2 linked regions of the Sus scrofa genome follow. The protein of the gene in region 1 interacts with the protein of each later gene in a pairwise test. Links are inferred from orthologs where the notes say so. Each region holds a gene or a part of one and is shown on either strand. Other genes may lie near its edges. The genes, in order: RBSN and EHD1.

Region 1 (9,414 bases):
TCTTTTTGTCTTTTTAGGGCCACACCCATGGCATATGGAGGTTCCCAGGCTAGGGGTCTAATTGGAGCCATATCCACTGGCCTACACCACAGCCACAGCAACGCCAGATCCGAGCTGTGTCTGTGACCTATACCACAGCTCACAGCAACACTGGATCCTTGACCCACTGAGAGAGGCCAGGGATCGAACCTACAACCTCATGGTTCCTAGAGGGATTCATTTCTGCTGCTCCACGATGGGAACTCCAGCCTTCCCTTTAATGCCTGAGCAGCTGCACACATGTGCACACTTCTCTCACTCCCCCGCTCCCCAACTAACTGGCTTATGAGATCTGTGTTCCTGCCAGTGGAGGCTGCCTCTGAGACCAAGACTGTCCCGCCTTATCTTTCTCACACCCTTTCTCTCTATTCCAGGTACATGGTTGGTGCCTGGAAAATGCAGGGAGAAGCAGAAATCAGACCTTCAGAGAGGAAGGAGTTGTGAGGGCTTCCCAGTACTGAATCAGTGTGACCATGAGCAAGTCACCTGTCCTCTCTGTGCCTCAGATCCTTCACTTATGAGGTGGGAACATGCTAGTTAATACCATATAGGTTTGTATGAGAATAAATTAAGACATGTAAAGCACATGGAATAGTGACCAGCACACATGAATCACTCAGTAAATATTAATCACTATTGCTATTATTAAAATGGAACTGGAGTTCCCTTCATGGCTCAGTGGTTAATGAATCCTACTAGGAGCCATGAGGTTTCGGGTTCGATCCCTGGCCTTGCTCAGTGGGTTAAGGATCTGGTGTTGCCGTGAACTGTGGTGTAGGTTGCAGACGCGGCTCGGATCCCACGTTGCTGTGGCTCTGGCGTAGGCTGGCGGCTACAGCTCCGATTCGACCCCTAGCCTGGGAACCTCCATATACTGTGGGAAGTGGCCCAAGAAATGGCAAAAAGACAAAAAATAAATAAATAAAATAAAATGGAACTAATAAGAGAGTCACCTAAAGAATTTAAATAATGAAAGTGCTTTTAATAAATTGTAAAGCACACAGGAAGGTCTTTGCCACTATCATACTTAAAAATATCAATAGAATGGCTGATTCTTCATAATTTCCAGAGCTGTGGGCCATTTGGCCAGTGCTTTTTTTTTTTTTTTTTTTTTTTTTTTTTTTTTTGGCTGTGCCCACAACATATGAAGTTCCTGGACCAGGGATTGAACCCATGCCACAGCAGCAACCCAAGCTACTGCAGTGAAAATGCCAGGTCCTTAACCTGCTGCGCCACAAAAGAACTCCTGGCGATTGCTTTTTTGAACAAATGAAATGGCAAATGTGACATTAGCATTTGTAAATGATAGAACAACAGAAAAAAATCATGATGGATTGATAAAAGGTTTATCCCCTGACCACAGACATTGTCCTGCCTGGGAGCATGGCTTGTTCTGGGACTCCTGTGGTCCCAGACAAGCAATAACGTGTTTTCACTCCCAGCCCTGGCTACCAGGACCCAAGGCAGAGGCCAGTGACAGAGGCAGATTTGGGTCTGTTGCTTTGTTTATGACAGGTTGGCAAGTCTCTTCCTTGTCTGTGTCAGTTCACAGGGCAGGGTTCCTGACCATGCCTCCCAACCCTGTAAAGTGAAAAGAGCTTTGGGACCTATTTTAGCTGTACAGGTGGGGAAACTGAGGCCAATCCAGGGGACAGGACCTGTTCAAAGTCACAGAGTAAGGTGCAGCTTGGATAGACCCCACGTCTCTAAACACCTAGCTCACCGCCCTTTTGCTGGCATTTATTCTCCAAAAACTCAGTGCTCTCCATGCCAGAAGCCTCAAGTCCCTAAACAGAAGTTCATGGAAGCCCAACACTAGCTGCAGAATCAGTGCTCCAGTTCAGAGAAGCAGAGGTGCAGCCAGTGTTAGGGACACACACACCACCCAGTGCACTCCCCCCAGCCCATGTAACCTCACCCAGTCTTGACAATCCTATAAGGTGGAAACTATTTTTATCTCCATTTTACAGACTGTGATAATAGGAGTCAAAGCAATCAAGTACCACTACTGGAACATGAATTGAGGCTACCTTCTGACCCCAAAGCTCAGGATCTTCCCATTATTCTGTGTAGCTCTTCTTCTGGTGTCCCAGCCATTGCTGAAGGCCAGCGCTAGTGCAGGGCACAAAGCAAACAGCTCCCAAGGGCTGGGATGAGGTTTTTTCCCTAGATACTCCATGGTACCCAGCACAGTGCAGGGCATGGTGTAGGGGCTAACTGAGCATCCTTTTTTTTTCTTTTTTCTTTTTAGGGCCACACTCATAGCATATGGAAGTTCCCAGGCTAGGGGTTGAATCAGAGCTGCAGCTGCTGGCCTATACCACAGCCACAGCAGCAACAGATCCAAGCCACATCTGTGACCTATGCCATTGCTTGCAACGATGCTGGAAGCTTATCTCACTGAGCGAGGCCAGGGATGGAACCTGCATCTTCATGGATGTTAGTTGCATTTTTAATCTGCTGAGCCGCAATGGGAACTCCATTTTTTTTTTTTTTTTTTTTTTTTTTGTCTTCTGCCTTTTCTAGGGCTGCTCCCACAGCATATGGAGGATCCCAGGCTAGGGGTCGAATCGGAGCTGTAGCCGCCAGCTTACACCACAGTCACAGCAAGGCGGGATCCGAGTTGCGTCTTCGACGTGCACCACAGCTCACGGCAATGCCAGATCCTTAACCCACTTAGCGAGGCCAGGGATCGAACCCGCAACCTTATGGTTCCTAGTCAGATTTGCCAACCACTGAGCCACAATGGGAACTCCGGGAACTCCATTTTTGAGGTATACTGGACATAATGTTATATCAGTTACCATAATGATTCAATCTTTGTATATATTGCAAAATGATCACCACAATAAGTCTAACATCTGTCACCATACATAGTTACAAACTTTTTTTCTCATGTCATGAGAACTTTTAGGATCTACTCTCTCAGGAACTTTGAAATATGCGATATAGTATTATTAACTAGAGTCAACATGCTGTGTATTATATCCCAAGACTAATTTGTCTTATAACTGGAATTTCGTACCTCTTGTCCCCCTTTGCTCATTTCTACCCACCTCCCCAAGCTTCTGCAGTGACAATGTGGAATCCTTAACCCACTGCACCACAAGAGAACTTCAGTATTTGCTTTTTCTGTTTGATTTATTTCACTTAGCCTAATGCCCAAGTCCATCTATGTTGTTGCAAACGGTAGGATTTCATCCTTTTTATGGCTAAATTGTATATATAATTTTATCACATTTTCTTTATCCATTCATTATCTGTTAATGGACACTTTGGCTGTTTCCATATTCTTGGTTACTGTAAGGAATGCTGCAACAGGCAGATGCAGCTATCTTTTGAGTTAGTGTTTTCCTATTTTTCAGATAAACAACAAGAACTGGAATTGGTGGATCATATAGTAGCTTTATTTTTTAATTTTTTGAGGAACCGCCATCCTGTTTTTCATAGTGGCTGCACCAATATGCATTCCTACCAATAGTGCACAACTGTTCATCTCATATCCTCACCAATGCTTCTTTTTGATAATAGCTCCTCTAACAGGTGTGGGGTGTTCTCTCACAGAGGTTTTGACTTCCCTTTGAAAATGCCACAGATTTTCCCTGACCGCAACGTACACACCTGGGATCGATACTCCTTCTCATTCCAGGCCCCACTCTCATGCGGTTCTTTCTATTCCAGATGTTTTCACATCCTCCAGGCTTGAGCGTTCCTTTTCTCTCTAGTGCTTGGGAGCGTTAATTGACTTTAACTTAGAACTGCAGTTGCGGGTGCAAGAGGCATTAAAGACGCCTCACTACCTCATTCATTGTGCACCCCCGTCAAGCGCTAAAGAACTACAGGATTCAGTTTTCTTTTTTTGCTTTTTAGGGCCACACTTGTGGCATATGGAATTTCCCAGGCTAGGGGTCTAATCGGAGCTACAGCTGCAGGCCCACACCACAGCCGCAGCAATGCTGGATCCCAGCCGCCTCTGCGACCTACACCACAGCTCACTGGCAAACGCTGGCGAGCCCAGGGATGGAACCAACCAGCATCTTCATGAATACTAGTCGGATTCGTTTCCGTTGGGGCACAATGGGAACGCCTCAGTTTTCTCATCTGTACAGTGGTGTGCATAGTCAGGGACGGGGTCTAATGCTCGGCACCTAACAACCTGGGGCGTCAAAAACCTCGTAAAATGGCAGAGCCCCCGCCCCCTGCCACTTCTAAGAGCGCCTTCGCTGAAGCCGCAGCTGTCCGTGCCTGGGGAGTCTGCCCACCCCTCGAAGACTCGGCGCTCTTCCGGCGTCTGTCAGCCTGCCTTCCGGTTTGGGCGCCGTCGCAGGCGCGCCTGCCGAGCGCCGAGCAGTCGATGGAGATGGCGGTCGCTCCTGCGTGAGGGGCCGCGGAGGCCCAGAACTCGGGTCTCAGGACTGCGAGCCCGCGGGAACCGGTGGGGTACCGATGGCTGGGCGTGCGTGCGGGGTGGGATGGGGTGCGGCTCCCCTCAGGAGCCGGCCGGGGGGCGTGGGACCCGTGTGCAGTGGTGGGTGGGACGTGCGTGGTGGGCGCTGCAGCTCGCGGGCCGCGTTTCCCTCACGGGCCGACGATGATTGGACCCTGGTTGTGTGGTTGCGCTGGGCTGTGGGATCTGCGGTTGGGCGCCCAGGTGGTTGTGTTTGAGTCTCTGCTTGTGGGAGGTTAAGGTGTTTGAGTTCAGGGTTTGTATGGCGTCCGCGTGAAGGTGTCGTGTGTGCCCTGTGAGGACGAGTCTTTCCCGTCCTGTGTAGTGGTGCGGCGGGTGCGCTTCGTGTTGAGTTACGTAGTGGCTGGCGCGTGGCCCTGTAGGTTTTATTCGTGGTTTTGAGGTGATTTAAGTTGTTAGGGGCTCGCATATGTTGTGGATGTGGGAGCTGGCTCTGTGGTTTGTGGTCGATCCCTTTGGTTTGTGGTGGGTGTCTGGTTATGTGATTGCACGGGTCGTGGCCGTTCATTCATTCACTCACTCATGCGTGGAGCGTTGTTGCCTGCTCGGTGGTTTGTGCGGGGCACTGAGCCCCACCTTGGGGTGTGGTGGTGGGGGTGTGGTGGTGGGGAACGTGGCCCCCGCCCTCCAGACCTGTAGGCTGATAGACTTGTGTACCTGTGATTACAAATTGAGATAAGTGCTGTGAGGAGAGGTGCAGGGCCGCCCCACAGGAGACTGGAGGCAGGGTGGGTGCCTTGGCATGCGGGGGATGGTATGTGCTGGAATTGTGGTTGGTAGGGTCAGGCGTGGGAAGGAAGGGAGCTCAGGTCAACCGCTGTCTAGGGAGGGGCCAGGAGCTGCTGTTTCAGCGACCATCAGGGAAAGGGGCTGAGAGGTGCATGTAGGGCTTTTTAGTTAGAGGAAGAACACAGAGACCTCGTGTTTTGTTTGTTTATTTTCTGGGTCATTGCCAGAAATCAGTTTCTCCTGGGTGGCCCTCTAAGCAGGTCATCCACAGCTCAAAGCTGAGGGACATTCATTCTGCCTCACAATCTCTTGTAATTTGTGGCCTCAGGTTCTTGGGGGGAAGTTTCTTGTTTTTGTGGAATGGTTTTGTCTGGGTTCTCCTGGCTGGAAGTCTTTGTGAAGTGACATTGGAAGTGATAATACTCGAAAATGTAACTTATTAATCCCTGAATTCTTAAAGCATCAAATTCCTTTATTTTTGAAGTAGTGAGAGCATTAGGCTTGCTGGTTCATAAAATCTAGTAAATTTACTTGAGAAAAACTACTCTACAGATGTAAGACACAAAATAGATTTTTCTTTTTGATCACAAAGTTTCTAAGGCTCTTCTTTACGGTTGAGATTTTTCTTTGGTTTGGTTCGGTGTTTTTAGGGGAGATGCTATCTCTTTTTTGACATAGGTGCAAGAGCTCCATACATGTGGTTGAATAAATAGGGTAAAAGGAGTCAAATAAAATCTTCTGTTTGTTGATCACTACTTTTGACTTTTCCCCATTGGCCAAAGTGGCATACAAATGATGAAGTTGGACCATTGGAATGAGTGTTAGAGAATTGCCTTGGTATTATGATTACTGTTGAAGTCATATTTTCCTCTTATCTTCAAGAATCTGTGCTTGCCTCTTTATTGAGTTACCTGTTGTCTAGTGATGTTCTCATATCCAAGAAGCTTTTGTGTTTTGGTCTAAGAATTTGAGAAGGCAGTTTGTGTTTTCAGAAAGCGGCACTGAAAAACATCATGTACCCTTGCTGAACTGTGAAGAGAACAAGGAAAATTCTCAATTGCCGCTAATTTGCCTGAATTGTTTTTTTTTCTCCCTTCTTTCCTTTTTTAGGACTTCACCTACTCCAGAGAGGAAACCTCATCCAAGACCACGATTCCACGTCCCCATCATCTGTGTGCTGCTTGGTTGAGCTGATGCTGTGGGAGTCCTGGTCTCTTGTGGAGGAATCAAGCTGACTCTTGGCATGAGGCCCCTGCCTTGTGGGGGTTGAGAGGGACACTACCATGGCTTCTCTGGATGACCCAGGGGACGTGAGAGAGGGCTTCCTCTGCCCTTTGTGCCTGAAGGACCTGCAGTCTTTCTATCAGCTGCAGTCACATTATGAGGAAGAGCACTCTGGGGAAGACCGTGATGTCAAAGGGCAAATTAAAAGTAAGAGGAGAGAATTTTCTCCTTGTCCCATTCTGTCTTTGGGAGCTTGAACTCATGGGATGGTTTTCATTAGCTTCCATGTTGCCACCAGAACATAATACACAATAGTAAATTAATAATAATAGTAAAATATATCTAGTATATCTAGTGCTTTCTATGTGCCAGGCATTATTCAGAACCTTCCCTTGTATTAACTTCATTTAATTCTCACACTGTGTGACTATGAGCCCCTTCTTACTGATGAGGATACTAGACACAGAGAGATTAGACACAGAGATAACTTGCCTGAACTTAAACAGTGAGATAGAGCCTGGCTTTGAACTTAGTGTAATTACTGTGCTCTGCTGTCTCTTGCAAGACTGTTTGAATTCTCTAACTGCCAACCTAAAAGGCTTTGGGGGTTGGAATTCCTTTCCTTTGCTCTGTAAGTGGAGGCAGATTGTACACCCATTTACCTATCACAAATTCAGGGCTTCCTGCCATACTTACTTCCTCAGCTAGAACATGTCCTCTGCAGTGCAGGAAAAGGAAGGCGATAGTTGACATGTAAAGAGGAAAACCAAAAAAGTTAAAACTTGGTTTTTGAGTTTCAAGGACCCTCAGGTCCTGGAGGACTGCATAAACAATTTTTCAAAGTAATTTTTGCTATATAGAGTATTCATTTCTTGGACTTTAGATTCTAAGCCCTAAGTATGGTGCTGCTCCTCTGGAACTCACTTTCCTAGTACTTCAGCCAACAGCTGGCAGCATTTCTGAAGGCAGGTAGATTTAAAAGGTCTAATGTTGTATTCGTGATTCTTTGTTGGGTGGGAGAGAAAGGAATGATCGTGTATCCTAAGTGGGCTTTGACTTCTGCACATGTAGTCACATGCCCCCTGTAATCACATAGTCTCACTCCATGTCTCACTTTTCAGTTTAGAAGAAAAAGAGTTGTTAAAAGCAGTAACATTTATAGCTTCTGTCAATAATATGACAAAGTCAAATATTTTCAAAATATTGAGGCCATGATGAAATAGCTTCTGGCTGTAGATGCTGGAGCAGAGTCATAATTCTTAGAAGGCAAAAGAAAAAAGAAAAAGAAATGTATATTCTTTCACATACTTTGTTATTTTGTTAGACTTTCCCAGCAACCCTTCAGGAAAGTGGTTGGTCTTATTTTACAGAGAAAAAGTGAGGCTCAGAGATATGGAGTGACTTAGATAAGGTTACACAGGAAGTGACAGAGCTAGGCCTTGACCCCATAGCTCTGTCACCTCTAAGGTAAGTGCTGCTCTTTTCACACAGTGTCCTTAATGAGGTGAGGCCCTGCATTCCAATCATAGCATGAGAGCAGCTGAAAAACTAGCAAACAAATGAACTGAGTATCTAAAGTGTCCTTTGAACAACCAAAGGGCCTCCGTGATTTTCAGTGAGTGTCCAGCCTTACTGTCTGCTGAACTGAGTCATATAAGTGATCTCACTAACACTTTGATGCCAGTGGGTGGATATTGGAGAATGTCTTCCCATTCCTGGGATGACTGACACTTTTACATGGGGAAAAATGTGTAAGATTATTTAGGGAATAATAGATATGGGAATGTATTTAGAATATACTAGAATGGAAACTTTGTTCCTTGTGAGAATAACTTGAAAGAATTTTCACGTGTTTTCCCCTCCATTTCTCCCCCATCTCTGCCCCAGAACTAAAAGATTGAGTTAAGTATTTCTTCGGTACTACTAATGATCACTTCTTTAGTCAGGAAGAAATTCTTGCTTGTGTTGCAGTTCTCCATGTTTCAGAATAAGGAAGAAAAAATTTTGAAGATTGACATCAAAGGTTTTGGGAAAGTCCTTTAAAACGCAAATTAACCTCTCCATTTGGTGTTCTGATTCTTAGCGATCTTATGCCATTGCTAGTTTTAGGCAAGTGAAATGTTAAAGCCTAAAGAGTGAACCGTGTGGTATCAGGTTTGGGGACAGTTTAAAAAAGAAAATAGGGAGTTCCCATCCCAGCGCAGCAGAAATGAATGACTAGGAACCATGAGGTTGCAGGTTTGATCCCTGGCCTCGCTCAGTGGGTTAAGGATCTGGCATTGCCATGAGCTGTGGTGTAGGTCACAGACATAGCTCAGATCTGACGTTGCCTATGCTGTGGCATAGGCTGGCAGCTGTAGCTCCGATTAGACCCCTAGCGTGGGAACCTCCATATGTCTCTGGTGCGGCCCTAAAAAACAAGAAAGAAAGAAAAAAGAAAATATAAACTTGTCATCATAAAAAAAACATGGTCTATGAGTTTGGGCCCCAACTCTGGTTCAGCATCAGTTTAGCCTATGTACAGTAAGTAGAAGAAAAGGTGGTTGAAATGAACTGTGGCTTTGTGTTTTAAAAATGTGGTATTATTCTTAATTGGCCCCCTCTTGAAGGACTACACCCATCCTGAGAAGGTTGCCACACAGCTCTTCTCTGCCTCCTAAAGTGGTTAAATGGCATGGTTGCCTGTTGAACTCAACAGTTTACCCTTGTTTGCAAAAATGAATTGGTGTTTGCTAATTCCAGCTTCCTGTCTGCTAAATTCTTTGTTGCCTCAGGCAGTTTCCTCTTTCGTTGTTAAGAAGGACTACTTTGGAGTTCCCGTCCTGGCTCAGTGGTTAATAAATCCGACTAGGAACCATCAGGTTGTGGATTCGATCCCTGGCCTCGCTCAGTGGGTTGAGGATCTGGCGTTGCCGTGAGCTGTGGTGTAGGTCGAAGACGCGGCTGGGATCCTG
Region 2 (8,278 bases), on another chromosome or scaffold:
AAAAGGGCAGCATGTGGCATCCAGCCTCTGGGGACAGGGGACAGACTGTGGTGGACTTGATGTCTGAAGGTTTCCGAGAAGTGTCTTAGATGGTGAGAAAAGGAATCTGTCTGTTTCATGACCCAGCTCTAGCCGAAAGAGGGTGGATCAGATGAGGGGGACCCCGAAGAGGGGGAAGGTGGGAGCCCGGTGCAAATGAGTGGCAGGGAACCTAGGTTTTCTGGCCCCCAGAACACAGCCTTTTGGTTCTGGAAGGCGCCCAGATGCAAGAGGCTCCAGGGTCTGTCACATCCGCTGCACATCTTGGGCCTCCTGACCCTGGACTGTGGCTCCCTTTTCCCCAAGGTCAAGGTTCAGCTGCTGTGGCTGGGCTGAGCCTCTCCCAGCCTTGCCTCCAGAAGCCGCCCTCAGCAGAAGGTCCCACGGGGCTAACTAGAGTGGCGGGCCGCCCCTGTCCTTGGCCACACCAGAAGCGCAGCGCCCCGCTCCTGCCTGAGGAGCCGGGGAACAAGGAGGTGGGCTGTGGGATCCTACAGCCCTGCCTACTGTTAACCAGGCCTGTGGCCTCCAGAGGGTGATGTCCAGTCTCTCTGGGTCTCTCTGCACGACAGAGAACTGCCTCTCTCAGGTGTGGGGGACAAATGGCACAGGGAAGGGCCTCCAGTGGTGGCCAGAGCGGGGCTCTCCAGGAGGAGCGCGTGGTTGTGGGTGGGGAGCGCCTGCAGATTTGCCTTGCTGCTCAGCCCCCCCCCCCAGGTTTTATTTAAATGTGTGTCTCCTGGGCTGGGGGTGGGGGGCGATGCAGATGGTGGGATGTAGGGTCCCCACTCCCCAAGCTAGTCCTCGGCAGCCCCCCACGCCCACTTCTCCCTCTCCCCAACCCCAGCACGGCAGGGGTGTGGCTTTTGAAAAGTCCAAGGTCCAAACAGGGGTGGACATATGGTGATTTCATCATCCTGGCTTTTCTTCCAAAAATCTCTGCGCTGCTCCAACAGCCGTAGGGGCTCCCACGCTCACAGCCACAGCGGCTGCAGCCCCATGTGGTTTTATAATCACCAATCCTTCTAGGCGCGCAGGAAGCCAAGCCGGAGCCCCCCTTGGCCACCACACCTCTGGCCCCCGGGCGCCACTAAGTCTGAGAGCCACTTCAGGGAAGGGTGGGTCCTGCCTGCGTTGATCTGGGAGTTGGGTGCGGTGCTGGGCTCCCCCCACCGACCCTCACCCCACCCTGACCAGCCTTCCTGAGGGGCTCAGGAAAGGCGGCCACTCCTGTTGGGCCTTCACAGGCCCCACCTCCGGGCAGCAGGGGTCACTGTTTGCATCTGGGCCCCAGGGAACAGATGGCTGCGCCCCAGCAGGTGGCAGGGCCAGGATTCCACCTCCTGCCTGTGGCCCCGAGGCCTGCCCTCTCCCTGTTTTTGGAGCTGGCTGCTCTGAATGCTGGAGGCAGGACAAGTGGGTGGGCTCCCTAACCTTCCCAGCCTGTTGGTCTTGGGCACGTCCTCTGACCAGTCCATTTGAGATAAGGCACTGGCTTAGATGCATGATTAGTTTTTTGTTTATTGAGGAGTAGAAGAAATGGTTACTACTCTCACATGGAACCTCCAGGTATAAAACAGCTGTGCTGCGGGGCCCAGAGGCAGTGGGTGGGATCTGAGGCATCGCGTGGGCAGGGCGCCCCAAAGTTCTCTGACTCCAGGAGCTCTGGGGCCCCGGGTGGAACTGCAGCCTGACCCCGGACCAGCCTGTAGGAGGGGGCCTTTCACCCAGGATCCTGGCCAGCTGGGATCTGAGGAGTAGGCAAGGGGGAGCCGGCACCCCCAGTTCACACCCACTGCCCTTCCAAACCCCATCAGAGCTGGGAGAAAAATCCCCGCCCCCCACAACCTGTAAAACCCAAACAGGATATGAGCTCCGGGGGAGCATGGGGCAGTTGCCTGCTCTGGGGCCCTCTTCAAGCCTCAGATCAGCAGGCGCTTCCCAGGGCTGGGGCAGCCTTTGGCCACAGCGAAGGGGGTGGGGCAGGCTGGGGAGTGCTGCTCACCCTCCACGCTTCTTTTCTCTTTTTTTTTTTTGGCCGCATGCCACCAGGGAACTCCTCACACTCACGTTTTAAGAGAACCTGTCAGTCCTGTGTTTTCTTTCTTTTTTTTTTCATTTTTCAGGGCCACAACCACAGCATACGGAGGTTCCCAGGCTAGGGGCTGAATCAGAGCTACCGCTGCAGGCCTACGCCACAGCCACAGCCAGGCCAGATCTGAGCTGCATCTGCAACCCACACCACTGCTCACAGCAACGCCGGATCCTTAACCCACTGAGCGAGGCCAGGGATCAAACCCGCAACCTCATGGATGCTAGTCAGGTTACTGCTGCACCATGACGGAAACTCTTGTGTTTTCTTTTTTTGTTTTTGGTTCTTTTTTCATTTTTGGCTACCCTGCAGCATACGGAGTTCCCAGGCCAGGAATCAGAGCCTAGTTGAAGACCTAAGCCGCAGCTGCAGCAACACCAGATTTTTAACCCACTGTGCCAGGCCAGGGATTGAACCCCCAAGATGCCACTGATCCCCTTGTGCCGCAGGGGAACTCCAGCTGGTCTTCTTCGTGCTCCTACAGCTTGCACAGACATGGCCCACTGCCTCTCAGGTGACGCTGGAAATTGAGGGGCTGCCCCAAGCTTTCAGGTCCCCAGGCTGGAGTGAGAGCATTTAATCTTCAGTGTGGGTTTCTCGAACCTGTGTCTATAGCTGCAGACTTTGACGGGTGGGGTGGGCTGTCAGTTTTGGTTTTTTTGGGGGTGGGGTGGGGGCCGCACCCCTGACATGTGGAAGTTCCCCAGCCAGGGATCGAGCTTGAGCTGCAGTAGTGACGCCAGATCTTTAACCTGCCGAGCCACCGGGGAACTCTTGTTTTTTCTTGGAAGGGTAGTTTCCACGTGAAACTTGGGGGTGCATGATGGCTTTGGACTTGGGTGGCTTGAATCTCGTCCCTCGACCCTTGCTCTTCACCTCCCCACATCCCAGGTTCCCAGCGGCGAAATGGAGAGAACGCGAACCTTCGGGTCACGAGGAGCAGGGTGAACCTAGAACCAGGCAAGCCCTGGAAGGGCTGGGAAGCCCCTGCCACCTCAGATGCTGCCATGAGACCAGACACCTGCCACCCAGGCTGGCACACACAGCCTGGCTCTCAAAACCCATAGGCACCTGTTGACATTCTGCCCTTTGCTACAGGTGTGTCTGGAATGGTCTCCGCCCCAGCTGCACCGCCAATCCGCACCCTTCCATGGCGTCGGCTCCCAATGTCTCACCCTTCCCTCTGTGGGTTACAAACGGTGCCCCATCTCTGACATCAGCTGGCCACATCCTTTGTAGTTTCGTTGCTGGTGTTATCTGCTTGATCTGCCTTCAAAGTACTGGCTTGCCAGTCTAAACCACCATGGGGGCAGCACGGAGCCCAGCCTACCCTGTCTGCTTGACCCCTCTCGGTGCCCAGAGCCCCGTGGGTGCCCACCTGTCTGTTCATGGTGAGGGCGGAGCCCAGGTTGGAGGAGACGCTGTGAAGGTCACGGGCGGGGGTGGGGGGTACCTGCTCCTCCAGCCCGGGGGCCGCCTAGTTCTCAGTCATCAGAGGCTCTCCAGACTTCTTCACTGCCCCCCCCAATAAGCTACTGCAGCTCAGCCCCCACCTGGCACAAGAAAGGGGGTCACAGCCCCGTTTGCAGGCCTCACTCTATGGATGGGAGGCAGCAGCTGCCACAGAGCTGAGCATGGCTAGGGAGGGACTGCCACCCATCCTGGCGGGCTTGCCAGTCTGTCCCTGATGGTACTTTGGCCCCCAAATGCTCTGCCAGTGCCAAGCAGGTGCTGTTGGGAGTGGGCCCCAGGGAGAGACAGCTAAGCGCAAGAAGCCGGCTTCGGCACAATTAAACTGTTTTAATGCAAGAAAAAAAGTCTTGTCTTCAGTTGCTTTTTCTTCCCACAGGTAAGGGTGGTTAAGCCATTGCACCTTAAACAGTGAATTCCCGACAAGGATGTTGCTTCCACCCCCGATACCCTATGGAATAGGGGGCCGAGGCCGGCTGGAGGTAACAAGGCCAGTTCCTGGCCACTAGGGCCCGGCAGAGGTCTAGAGAACGGCACTGGGAGGGGGACCACGGTCAGAGGTCAGAGTGGAGTCCCCGAAACCCCTGAGGGAGTGCCTGGTGGGAGGCCTGCTCCCCCGCCGCGGTGGTTCTTCGATGTCGGCTCCAGGCCCTGACCACTGGCCAGCAGGCAGGTCCAGACCCCTGGACGCCGTGCTGGGATAGCCCAGCCGAGGCAGGGCAGAGAGGTGGCCTGAGCTGGCCTCTCACTGGCTCAGGTTTCTCGCTGCTCAGCCCCGGGGCTGCTATTTTAAGGGCATCCAAGTTGAGCAGCGCCCCCCTTTGCTCAGGGAGGAAGGCAGGCGGGCAGGGGGAGGGGTTGGGGGTGGGGGGGGCCCTGGCCTCTGCTGGCTGGAGCACCACGCCACGCCACACCAGGTTCCGGGGACCCACTGCGCAGCAAAGGCAGGGAGGGCGGTGCCACCAGGACATTGCAGGAGGGCGAGGGGAGGAGAAAGCAGCTCTCTCCGGGGGCTCCGGCGGGGTGTGCTCTGCACACACCCCATGTCTGATGGCTCCTGAGTGGAGTTGTCCCCTGGCTGGAGTGTGGGGAAGGAGACAAAAATCACAGCTTCTGAACAAGTGGTTGGGAAGTTACTGGAAAATTCAGTCCAGTAGGAAAGCTGTTAACTTTACAGAAACCTAGCTTATGTATTTCTCTGGAAGATGTGCTCTCTCACACTCGCCCAGCCCCCGCCTCCCCAGAAAGGCAGCTGGGCTTGAGAGCAAGGAGCAGGCCCGTGGACAGGAGGACGCGGGGGGTAGGGGTGGGAGGAAGGCACAAGAACTAACTGAATCTGGGAGCGGAGGGAGAGGGCAGGGCTGGGCGGGAAGGAAGCCCCTGGCCTGGTGGAGCCACTCGGCCTAGAAACAAACGAGGTCCCGCGTCCCCGTCTACATGGTTGCAGCCGCGGGAGGGGTGAGCCGGGCGCCCTCCCCCGGGGCGGCAGGTGCTAGAGAGCCAGCGCAGGAGCCGAGGACGCGCAGGACAGAGGCGGGGTGCGCTGGGGCCGCCAGACGGAGGAGGAGGCGGAGGAGGCCAGAGAGAAGGCTGCCTCTAACGTTATATATTAAAAATATCCGTAGTTCTTATGCACAAAATTCCACCCTTCACATGTAAGGATCACCCCGGCCTCCCTGGCAGCAGCCTTAAGAGAAAGACGGTGGTTTTCCTTTGCGAGCTGCGGCAACAGGGCTCGGTCCTTGTGGGCTTGGGAACCGCCGCCCCTCCGCTCCCCCAGCCGCTGCAGGGCCGGCATGGAGGCGGCCGACTCGGCCGGCGGGGCCGCGGTCACTGGGGCCTCCGCTTGGAGGGCGGGATCAGGTGCGGGGGCAGGTCGGCGGGCAGCTCGTGGCCCTCCAGCTTGACTTTGATGAGGTGGTTGGCCAGGGCGAACTCCTCGTCGTCCAGCAGCCCGTCCCGGTCCACGTCGGCCAGCTTCCAGATCTTGCCCAGCACCGTGTTGGGCAGCTTGGACTTCACCATCTCCTTCTTGGCGTTGGCGCCCGTGATCTTGCCGTTGACGGGCGACAGCGTGTAGAAGATCTCGTCGTAGGTGGGCTTGTCCTTGCCCACCACCCACTCGACGTCGTCAATGCCCTCGCCGGCCCCCTCGCCGTAGCCGTGCCCGAAGGGCCCGTTCATGGTGCCTTCGAAGGCGCCGCCCTTCACGGCCTGGGCGGGCATCAGGGACTCCTCCTGACGCACCATGACCATCAGCCGGGCGATGTCGTTGGCCAGCATGTCGTCCACTGTGTCCAGCAGCTTGGGCTTCAGGGCCTGGAACTTGCTGAAGTCCTGGGACTGCAGGAGCTCCTGCGGTGGGAGGGAGGAAGGACGGGGCTGGGTCAGGCTGCGCGGTGGAAGCTGGGGTGCCCAGGAGAAAGGCCGGCTCCGCGTGGCGGCCCCGATCACTTAGCATCTCAGGCAGTGGTGTGAACTGCCCCCTCCCGGGGCCTCGGTGCCCCCCACTATAAATGAGAGGTAAGAACAGCCCCCCCTTTGCAGCCTCCTTAACTGGGAGGAGACTGGGGTGCCTGGCACGGCCCAGCCCGCTCCCTCCCCCTCTGAGTGAGTCACCACATTCCCCTGCGAGGTGTCACGGGCCCGGGGGGGGGCGGGGGGAGGTCGGCTTCTCCCATCGGGTGGGGCGCTGGTGATTAACCAGGCTGTTTCCATTTGGGGAGGCCCCGCCCCATGGAGCCGGGTTCCCTCGGGAACCACAGCCCCGGTGACCTGAGGCCGCCTCAGGGTGTGGGGGACAGCCCACCTGCATCTTGCGGAGGCTGGGGAAGTCGCCGGGGGAGATCTGATGCTCGCGCTCGATCTTCTGGTAGATCTCGCCCAGGTTGTTGACCAGCTCTTTCTTCTTGCTCTCTTTGCCAAAGACATTGGGCATCTCCTTCTTGAGGGAGCTGATGATGTAGGCGTGGACCTGGGGCAACAGGGACGGGGTGTGCGTCAGGCGCCTCCCGGACACCTTGCTGGGAGCGTGGCCTGCACCCGGGCTGCCCCAGAAAGCTGGGACCAGAACCCGGGACTGCTAACAGCAGCCCAGAGCCCACGTTCTTGCCGTTTCTCCGTGCGCACCTGCCACGCTCCCCGCAAGCCAAGCGGAGCCGCGCCGCGCTGCTTCTACGGGCCTGTGGATGGTTTGGGGACTCCAGCCCGGCCTGTGTGACGCCCTGCTTTATCATCCTGACAGGCTCAGGGGTGACTAAGGACTGGAAAATCCCGCAAGGCTTCTCCCAGATGTTTCCGGCTTTATCTAAACTCAGTACCTTGCTCAGACATTGGCCAAGTCGGGGCGGCGCAGCCTTCCCGTCCTCACAGCGCACCGGGAACGCTGGCAACCCTGCGAGGCCTGGCCCTCAAAGCCCTCCGCCTTGCCAAGCACCGTCCAGCCGTGGAGAGCTGCCGCTCTGCCCCATCAAAGCCCCTCCACCGGCCTGACCCCACCTGCCTGGGCTGGGAGCCTGGCCGAGCACTATCCTGTCCCAAAGACACAGGCATAGCTCTGCCCGTCACAGGCCAGCAGAGAGAGCGACTCACTCCAGGAAGTGGAAACAGTCTCGAAACAGCAGGTGCAGGACAGGACTGGAGAGGACGGGGCTTTCCAGGCACCGTGACTCAGTGTGCCCGGGGGCCCGGCGCGGACACGCCAGCTCTGAGAGGAAGGAGCAGGGGCCCGAAGTCTGCCCCTCATTCTGTCCTGGAAGGAAGCTGAGCGAGAGCACGGGAGGCCCTGTCAGGAGAGGGGCTGGGCGGGGTGGGCGGGGAGCTGCCTTCCCTGCAGCTGAGCAGAGGCCGGGCCGGGAGACCCACTCTCTCCTCCATTCACCGCCCCTCCCGTTTCAGCTCCTTCGCGGCCAGGAGCGGGTGATGGGGATTTTCGCATGGCTTCCTTTTTTCAGAACTAGCTCCACTCACCAGGAAAGTTCCAGAAGTGAGGTATCTAGAGAAATGTGCAGCCCTGCATCCTCCAGAGTGGGATTCTGCACCTTCACCGTGCATACGGGTCACCAGGGGACCGTGTCCGAATGCAGAGTCTGGTTTGGTAGGGCGGGGGCCTGGGAACCTACTCTTCCAGCAAGTTCCAATCTGCTGGTCCAAGAGCACTCTGGGGAAGTGGGGTGGGGACACAGACTGGGATAAAGGATGCGGGTCACTTCTCTTTTTTTTGGGGGGGGTGCTATTTTAGGGCTGAATCTGCGGCATATGGAGGTTTCCAGGCCAGGGGTTGAACTGGAGCTACAGCCGCCAGCCTACACCACAGCCACAGCAACGCGGATCCGAACCGCATCCTCGACCTACACCACAGCTCACGGCAACACTGGATCCTTAACCCACTGACTGAAGCCAGGGATTTGATCCGCATTCTTATGGATCCCAGGCAGGTTCGTTAACTGCTAAGCCACGAAGGGAACTCTGGGGCCACTTTTCTTTACTCAGGCCAGGGAGTACCCAGAGCTACTTGACCTGGGCCTCAAGATGGCATGGGGTGCCCTGGGCCACCGTTGTTTGGACTATGGCAGAGTCCCCAACCTCTGGGCTACACACAGGCAGGCAGCTAGCTCCCTGGGGGCAGGAGTGTGGCCCATGGGGCTCCTCCCGGCTCTCCCGGGACAGAGCCTGCCC

Evidence for each region.
Region 2: the proteins of RBSN (region 1) and EHD1 interact in binary tests that used the Homo sapiens proteins (3 or more experiments, as listed by UniProt). The link is inferred for Sus scrofa from reciprocal best matches to the Homo sapiens genes RBSN and EHD1.

The regions. Positions count from the first base shown.
Region 1 is NC_010455.5:69,399,645-69,409,058, forward strand, and holds the start of RBSN (rabenosyn-5), read left to right. Parts: upstream 1-4,350; 5' UTR 4,351-4,474; intron 4,475-6,346; 5' UTR 6,347-6,519; coding exon 6,520-6,667; intron 6,668-9,414. UniProt on the Homo sapiens protein: Rab4/Rab5 effector protein acting in early endocytic membrane fusion and membrane trafficking of recycling endosomes. Required for endosome fusion either homotypically or with clathrin coated vesicles.
Region 2 is NC_010444.4:7,317,214-7,325,491, reverse strand, and holds the end of EHD1 (EH domain-containing protein 1), read right to left. Parts: intron 6,576-8,278; coding exon 6,411-6,575; intron 5,957-6,410; coding exon 5,432-5,956; 3' UTR 3,912-5,431; downstream 1-3,911. UniProt on the Homo sapiens protein: ATP- and membrane-binding protein that controls membrane reorganization/tubulation upon ATP hydrolysis. In vitro causes vesiculation of endocytic membranes. Acts in early endocytic membrane fusion and membrane trafficking of recycling endosomes.